3 linked regions of the Kluyveromyces lactis genome follow. The protein of the gene in region 2 binds, or shares a complex with, the protein of the main gene of each other region. Links are inferred from orthologs where the notes say so. Each region holds a gene or a part of one and is shown on either strand. Other genes may lie near its edges.

Region 1 (2,639 bases), on a different chromosome or scaffold from region 2:
ACGAATTGGTGCTCCCACCAGAGGACTTCCTGGATCCCTTGCTGCTGGAATCAAAACTATAATCGTTCTTCAAACCACTGGTCACCTTGTGATCCAATGACGATGGATAAAACTCACTGATATTGGCAGGATCAACATGTTTGTTGAGTATAGATGAGGCAGATCCTGACCTTGAATGTCCAGCAGTGCTACTCTTCTTCTTCAAGAAAGACATATCATCCACGGTTCATCTATATTTAGCGGGACTTTACTTATCAGATACTAAAGTATCGATACCCAGTAATTGTTGCACTAAGCTCTTCTCTTATCGTCTTTCTCCCCTCTTTATTAACGATTAAAATGGTATTAATTACAATTGTTTCTATTTGAATTTATATCTATTCTCTAAAACGGTAAACGTTTCTAACAAATTCGATGAGATGCTGCCACTAAAACATAGTTACTAGATGGTATAGTATTTCTAATCGATCTATAACGACCTAACATTATATTAAACTTTTATTTACACGATTTTGTAGGAGGGTTAGTTCATTAATTGACTTTTAGCTCGGATATTCTCAGAATAGTCAAATCGGCTTTATTGACCGCATGACGCACTTTCCTGTTTCTTCTCTTGGTAACTTCTCTCACTCTAAGCGGGCGTTTTGTCTTCTCAAGAACTGTAGCCTTAATAGTGTATAGAGATGGATCAATAGGTTCGTCCACGAGCTTGAAGTTACGAGAACCAATGGTAGTCACATCAGTCAAATTTAGCACATCGCCGACCTCTGCTTGCTTCAGTTTAAACGGTAAGATAACCTTATCTCCTTCTGTCACCAAGTATGGTCTGTTGTGTATTCTGAATACGGCATATAGCTCATTGGATAACTTCAACGGCGTTAAATTCACCTTCGCTTTTTCTGCTACCGAGTGTGTTGTTCTGATGAAACTTCTCTTCAAAGGTTGAAGAAATGGGCTGAAACCCACCATTTGCCTTACTGGGAGGGCAAACATATGACTGATATTCTTGAACATCGTTTCTGCACTGATTCGAACGACAATTGGCAGATGCAATAGCCCTTTCAATCTGCTTCTTCTCACTTGTCTTAAATGTTGTTCAACTAGTCGTATACTGTTTCAACAGAAAATTTTTTGAGCCTTCGAGAGTTAAGTGTTGATGTCAGTCACGTGACGTGACGTGAAAAGTAGGGCACACACACAGTCATGAGAAGGAAGAGCCAACGGCCACGCCAAGGGACAGCGTCGTTTCATTTGTGCATTCATTCGGGTATGTTACAAATGTTACAGAACTTTTATACATGAGTCAAACTATTCTTTTAATCCTGTGACAATTCATGCAGATTTGCGTTTATCACCGTTCAAGGATCTCATGACCTTCCTTCTTTGGGCAACCATGTGTGAGAATAGCACCGGGAACCCTGGAATGTAGGCTAGCATACCTGCAATTAAGAAATACTTGTACAAGATATTGTATTTTGCTTCAGCCAACGGCAATGCAGAATAAATTATGAACAATTCGCTGCCGACGCCCAATGGATATAGCACGTAAAACATGTTATATCTCAATACAACAAGTACAGTAGGCGCTTGAGCCACCAAGTTGAAGAAGTAGAACATGTACCTCACTATTTCAGCAATACACCATGCCGACAACAACGTGATGTAATATATTTTATGCGCATTTTCTGCTTCCGGCACATACTGGAAGATACCGATGACTACCAAGAGTCGAGAGGCCACTTGAGCAGCAGTGGTCACTAGCGGAGCACGGACTATTCCAAACAAAGAATTTGTGACTTCAATTATAGCACCGCATTGAACGTACGTGACTAAATCCTTGGTAGCAATAAAGAAACTTGGTTGACCGATCTTTGGGTAAAGGGTCACGACTTGATATAGGACATAAGCCCAGGCAGAAGCAGAAAGTAGGTTGTAAAGAGGAAGGAAGGAGAAGATAGAAGCCTTAGATGATGCCATTGGGTGTGAAAGTGTATTGGTGGGCTCTTTGGACTTCGGGGTTCAATTTATTAAGATCCAGTTCGGTTCTAAACAGACCAGTTTTTGTCAATAACAAGAATTCATGGTTTCAGATTCATAAAATTAAGTGATGCATTGAGACGAAAAGGAAGAGAAATCCAACAATACCCAAATTAACAAATTGCAGTATGTATTGATGACATGAGAATTAAGATTTGAATTAGTGTTACTCGTATGTTATTATTACTATTACTATTATTAATATTATTACTACTTGAACTAACGATAAACAGAGGAAAAGTAAATGTTTATTATATATCAATTTGTGTTGATAAGGATTCGTGTTTGGGGATAAGGCTGCATTGTTAATCTGTATCATGTGAGCTTGATCTTTGCAAAGCAGGCATTCCCATTGCTCTACTACTCTGCTCAGCGAGATCGTAAGGGATCTTATCATTACTGGAAGTACGACGCAGGGAGTATTCATTCGAACGATGAGAAATGCCGCTATGTGTTCCAACATCAGTATCAGCATCGAAATCATCTTCGTCGTCGTCCTCATCATCGTCGTTTACATCAAGATCGTTGAGTTCTTCGTCTGGTGCATCGTAGGGCATACCACCCGGTGATAACATGCTGGAGTATAAAGGATGGTTTGGTTT
Region 2 (3,083 bases):
TGAATCCTTGAAGCAATAAGCAACAGGACTTATGAAATAAGGAGAGGTGTGTTTAATTCTTCTTTTTTCTCTTTTGTGTAACAAGGGAAAGGAACTTGTATGCATAACTCCGAGCTGAAGCATAATAGAAAAATAAAAGGTTGTATTCTCTGTTTGAATTCTGGTAGTCAACAAGAAATGATGACAACAAGAGTTATATCTGCTTTCCTCGACTAAGAACGAAAGACCTCACGAATCCTTTTTTTTGTTACGATTAGATTTACAGCCAATACAATAACATATGAAGAAGAAACAGCCAAAAAAAAAGAAGATTCTATATATAGCCTCTAGGAAAATATTCAATCAGAGGCAGTCCAAAAAAACAGACGCACATGAACGCACGCACCATACACCGTATTATTACTATATAATTTATTATGTTACCGGGAATAAATGTTAACTAATGATCATATTCTTAATAGATTCGAACAAGCTTTTTAGTTTTTTTTATGATTTGCGTATGTTGCATTGATTTTCTACATTGCATATTATTTACATGAGGTATGAGATATTATTCAGACCACCTGAGGTTGTTGAAAAGTGTGTAATCATATATATCGCGAGAGAGACGAGGAGGAAATAAACTCTTTCTGGAAACTTTCATTTTTTTTTTCATACAACAGATCTACGAACTCTATGGAACACTCTCCCTTCTGGTAATCCGTATTTCTCTCTAATGTTTGCCACGTTAGAATCCCATTCTGATCTCCAAACATGAGCACCAACCGGGTCCAAGTTGTGGGAACGAACAAATTCTCTAATATCGAAGTTTTCTCTATCGACTGGTTCAGGGGATTCCAAATCACCATTCTGTCTGAATACCCATACAGAGAACCTTTGCTTGCCAACATTTTTCTCAGGTACTGGAGGAATGTAATCTGCAAGAATCTGCGATTCATTGTATTTTCTTGGATCTACCACGTTGTCGTTATAGTCTATCTTTAAATTAGTCAAACCGAACGCCAAAGTCGTCTTGAATGTATCATTCAACACATCCGGTTCATCTGGATTCACAATTACCACAGTGTATTTTTGCTTTTCGAAGTCGATACCGTTCTCGTACTCTTGAATCTTAATTGTTGGAACCATCGAAGTCGTGTTGGAGGACAAAATTTCACCAGGTTCAACCCATTTGTTCACACCAGTACTGAATGGGAAACGTAAATTAACCTGTACTCTTGGTTGTAAAGTAGGTAACGTATCGGGGATTACACTCAAAGTCTCTAGTCTTTGCATTAACAACATTTTTTCGTAGGATTCCCAATGCTTCAGCCCCAAACGCCTGTACACTGGAACAGCATAATCTATCACTCTAGTATCGTTCTCTAACTTGTCATGATACTGAAAATTGTATTGGACCTCTGGGTTATGCAATTCAGCCTCTGTTTCTAACTTAGCACGTACCTTGGCATCAGTCTCATTTTCTAGTTGCGAATACTTCTCTTCAGCGCGCTTACTCATAAACTCATAACTCAAGCGGAACATCTCATCAATATGTTCAGGAGAGGTATACTTCAAACGGTTCATCCTCCGCTTCAAAGACGGTGGACCTCGTCTTCTAACGTCATCGCTGTCGCCTTGAAAGATGTATTTCTTAATCGATTCTGATGCTAAACCAAGCGACTTGGATCTCTTAGAAAAGTCCGACCATACCCCGGTTTTCTCTAAACATTTGGCACTGCTGTGCAACCCTCTACGCAACATTCTCCAATTCGAGTTGTTAGTCTCTGAAACACCCTCCAATGGGATCCTACAACTGATTATTCATGTATCTTCATTGTCCGTTCATACTTAAAACTCATCTGAATCGTTCGAAATCGATTTTTCACCAAAAAATTTTAATGTGTTTCAGTCCGGGTAACAGAAGATCGTGCCTCTCGCTCCAAGTGGAAGTTCAGAGATCAATAACTGGTAAGCTTTGCCTTTGAGACTGCCATTCGGTTTCATATGTTGCAAATGACGCTCTTCTGATCCAGCGAACCCATCATATCCATCTTTCTTTGTATATTTTCTTCTTCCCTTTCCTATATGCGGATTATAATGATCATTTATGTTTGAAACGACGAATCTTATATGAGAATGCTCATCGCGACATTGTTTCAGATCTGTAAAGACAAGATGCCTCAACTTTTTCCTGGTATAAAGACCCTTTGCCAATCAGCATTGTAGGTTTACTTCTCATTCCCTGTATTATCCTGTATAATATTCAAAAGCTTATTAAATCAAATATGAACGGTTCAGAACCGAATTCTACAGAGTTAAGGCACGATGTCGAGGCAGTTACCATACTAATATCTAAACTTCAAGTTTACTCGCAGTTTGATACACAAACTCCAACAGAGAGAGCTTTTCCCTCTATGTTCAGCTCCGATTCTGATATAAGCGACTCAATTGACTCTGATGTCGGAGATCAGCTAAAGAGACGGTCTTCTTCAATACTGCGCAAAATGTTTAATAGGTCAAAGAAACTACTGCCAAAACTACACAAGAGGTGAAACGTATGAGCAGTTGTGCTGCTGGATAATGGAGGAGCTTCTCTTTTCATACTACTCCGTCTTATATCAAAATTTCTACGCTCACTTCTGAGCTTTTCAGCAGGGAAGGTAGAAAAAAATTTTGACACATTGACGAAAACAGATTGATAACACTTAAGACCTTTGATAAAGCTTTGAATGACACCTACTCTTTGATTTCATATTGGATTTTTCACTATATAAGACAACTGGGGTGATATATCCAGAGAACCAATTAGGTATTGGAATAGTTTATACCTGATTCACTGAAAGATGGCTGACGTTAAGATTCAAACTCTACCAACCGACTTTAGGGCCAACCATTATGAGATTGAATTGAGTGAGTTAGATGCTGAGCACAATTCATTTATCGGATCCGTGCGTATTATTATGTCCACTGTTAATGCCAATGACATGATTTCATTGAATATGAGGGACATTGAGATCGTTTCTGCGGTGGTTGAACTGAAAGAGGGGTCTGTGTCTTTGGGAATGAAGGACCATAGTTTCGATTTAGAGAACGATGTTGTT
Region 3 (2,129 bases), on a different chromosome or scaffold from region 2:
GGTGGTAACCAGGGAGGTGTCTCTGCCTGGGGTGGCAGTGGTAATAAATCACAACGATCTAAAAACACCGGTGGAAGTTCCACTTGGGGTAACAATCAATCGCAGCATAACTCAGGAGAGAGATCCGCATGGGGCAATGCATCCCAACACAACAATAGCGGCAATAGATCTGCTTGGGGTAATCAGGATGCTAGAGGTGGTGGAAGTACGTGGGGTGGAAATAATTAGAAATAATCATACAAGTTATTGCCTCACGATAATTTACAAACCTATCAATTGTTCATCTTATTATCTCCAAATTACTCCACGCGATGTGGATGTTGTATATATAGTCTTGCCCAAATTAGTCTCAGAAACCAATTAAATAAGTGAATTAAGTAAATGTAATTTAGTTAAAAATTTCGTTTCTTTACTACAAACCGATACTACTATAGAACTCTTAAATCACGTCTATTTCAACGGTAGTTATTGCAGTGTGAGTGTTTTCTATATACATGCAAATGGTGTGGTTAAATTGTTAAATACAATTCATTAACGTCTTGCGGTACGTAAGAAGTCCAATGGTTTCCTCTCTGCAACCTTTCTTTTCTTGGCCTCTTTGAACAAAACATGACGTTTAGCTACAGGGTCGTACCTCACCTGCGTCACTAATGGTGCAGCTCTATTTATCGTGACATGACGGCTCACACCTGTCATAGCAGTTGATATCAGTTTGATAACTGTAGTCTTTGTCTTAGCCTTGGCCATCGTTTTCCTGTTCGTTTGCAGTTTATATATGATATCCTTAGCTCTGTGAAATTCCTTGAATTTGAATTTGAGACAGAGAAGTACGCAGGATAATATTACTTTCTGCCCTTAATACTTTCCGATGATACACCGTCCTATGCAGAAATTGATGAACTCCCACTACTTTCAGTATTGATTGGGTCGGATACATTGCTAAAGAAGAAGTAATGGATAATCAAAATTTTGTCAAATCACTACATACGTTTTGATGAATATGCAATATACATAAAAATGATCCGTACTTCATATCACGTGAAACAGATACATATTCACAAGTCAAGTTAAGTATTCGCATATAGTTACTCTACGCTTTTATCAACAAGAAGGTATTAACTGAATTGATTGGTGTACACAGTACGGTATAATTAAGGTAACTAATTAGTGCTGGAGCTTACGGATCTCTGTTACACCCGTGCAACACGATATACATTACTGATGAAAATTTTGAAAATTTTCCAAAGCTCATCGCATAGAGACAGAGGCAAAATCAGCGAAAGAGAAGAGAAAAAAATGGAAATTCAAATGAGTTCTAAGTTACCTGCTAAAATAAACGTAATGGTAAGGTGACCCTAGAAGGTGCATAGGGTTTCATCCAGCTGTTTGATAGAAGAAAGGAGTATACTGCGCCAAGTGTATCCGATTTACGTGTTTCAATAAAGAACTGAAACAAAAATTTGAGACTATCATCTGTGCGAAGTTTTTTTCTTCAAAGAGAATTAATTGATATCGATCAGATTATCTACAGACCCATAACTTGAAAGGAGGATATTTGACATACCTCAAATCAGAATTGGGCTTCTTAATTGTTGATAGTATAACACGCGTCTAGAAATTAAAGGAATTTTTTCTACAATCCTATTTTTTTAAGGAGATAATACAAAGATTCACAACATGTCAGCTATTCCTGAACCAAGAATCATCGAGAATGACGATGGTTCCAAAACCGTCATCAGTTTCAAAATCCAAGATGGTAAGAAGTACAAGGTTACGCAGAAGGTTAAGGAAATTACTGTCACCGAGAAAGTTAACAAGAACATCGCCTTGAGAAGAAATTGGAAGAAATATGGTGCTGATAAGGGAGCTGCCCCAGGACCAGATATTTCAACCACTCAATTAGGTGAAGAATTAGAGTTAGACTTGTCTCCTAACTGGAAGGAAATGGAAGAAGAAAAGGCAAAGGAGAAGGCTGCTAACTCGACTCAAAAGGTAATTACTTGTAGAATTTGTGGTGGTGCGCATTTCACCATGCATTGTCCGTACAAAGACACTTTGGGAAAGAAACCTACTACATCTGCTGGTTTAGACCCGGCTATCGGTGGTGGAGATATGAGCGCTCAAGGAGG

Evidence for each region.
Region 1: MRPL35 (region 2) and MRPL49 share a complex: the UniProt entries of both Saccharomyces cerevisiae proteins name them as parts of the mitochondrial large ribosomal subunit. The link is inferred for Kluyveromyces lactis from reciprocal best matches to the Saccharomyces cerevisiae genes MRPL35 and MRPL49.
Region 3: MRPL35 (region 2) and MRPL39 share a complex: the UniProt entries of both Saccharomyces cerevisiae proteins name them as parts of the mitochondrial large ribosomal subunit. The link is inferred for Kluyveromyces lactis from reciprocal best matches to the Saccharomyces cerevisiae genes MRPL35 and MRPL39.

The regions. Positions count from the first base shown.
Region 1 is NC_006042.1:1,308,696-1,311,334, reverse strand, and holds MRPL49 (mitochondrial 54S ribosomal protein bL21m), read right to left. Parts: upstream 1,015-2,639; coding exon 532-1,014; downstream 1-531. Other genes in the region: mitogen-activated protein kinase kinase kinase BCK1, read right to left, coding at 1-214; enoyl-CoA hydratase PHS1, read right to left, coding at 1,333-1,977; SAP185 (Sap185p), read right to left, coding at 2,343-2,639. UniProt on the Saccharomyces cerevisiae protein: Component of the mitochondrial ribosome (mitoribosome), a dedicated translation machinery responsible for the synthesis of mitochondrial genome-encoded proteins, including at least some of the essential transmembrane subunits of the mitochondrial respiratory chain.
Region 2 is NC_006040.1:1,119,605-1,122,687, reverse strand, and holds MRPL35 (mitochondrial 54S ribosomal protein mL38), read right to left. Parts: upstream 1,744-3,083; coding exon 652-1,743; downstream 1-651. Other genes in the region: TIM11 (F1F0 ATP synthase subunit e), read left to right, coding at 1-19; KLLA0_D13079g (uncharacterized protein), read left to right, coding at 2,268-2,534; KLLA0_D13068g (M1 family metallopeptidase), read left to right, coding at 2,826-3,083. UniProt on the Saccharomyces cerevisiae protein: Component of the mitochondrial ribosome (mitoribosome), a dedicated translation machinery responsible for the synthesis of mitochondrial genome-encoded proteins, including at least some of the essential transmembrane subunits of the mitochondrial respiratory chain.
Region 3 is NC_006038.1:66,341-68,469, reverse strand, and holds MRPL39 (mitochondrial 54S ribosomal protein bL33m), read right to left. Parts: upstream 748-2,129; coding exon 532-747; downstream 1-531. Other genes in the region: transcription elongation factor SPT5, read left to right, coding at 1-228; TIF35 (translation initiation factor eIF3 core subunit g), read left to right, coding at 1,678-2,129. UniProt on the Saccharomyces cerevisiae protein: Component of the mitochondrial ribosome (mitoribosome), a dedicated translation machinery responsible for the synthesis of mitochondrial genome-encoded proteins, including at least some of the essential transmembrane subunits of the mitochondrial respiratory chain.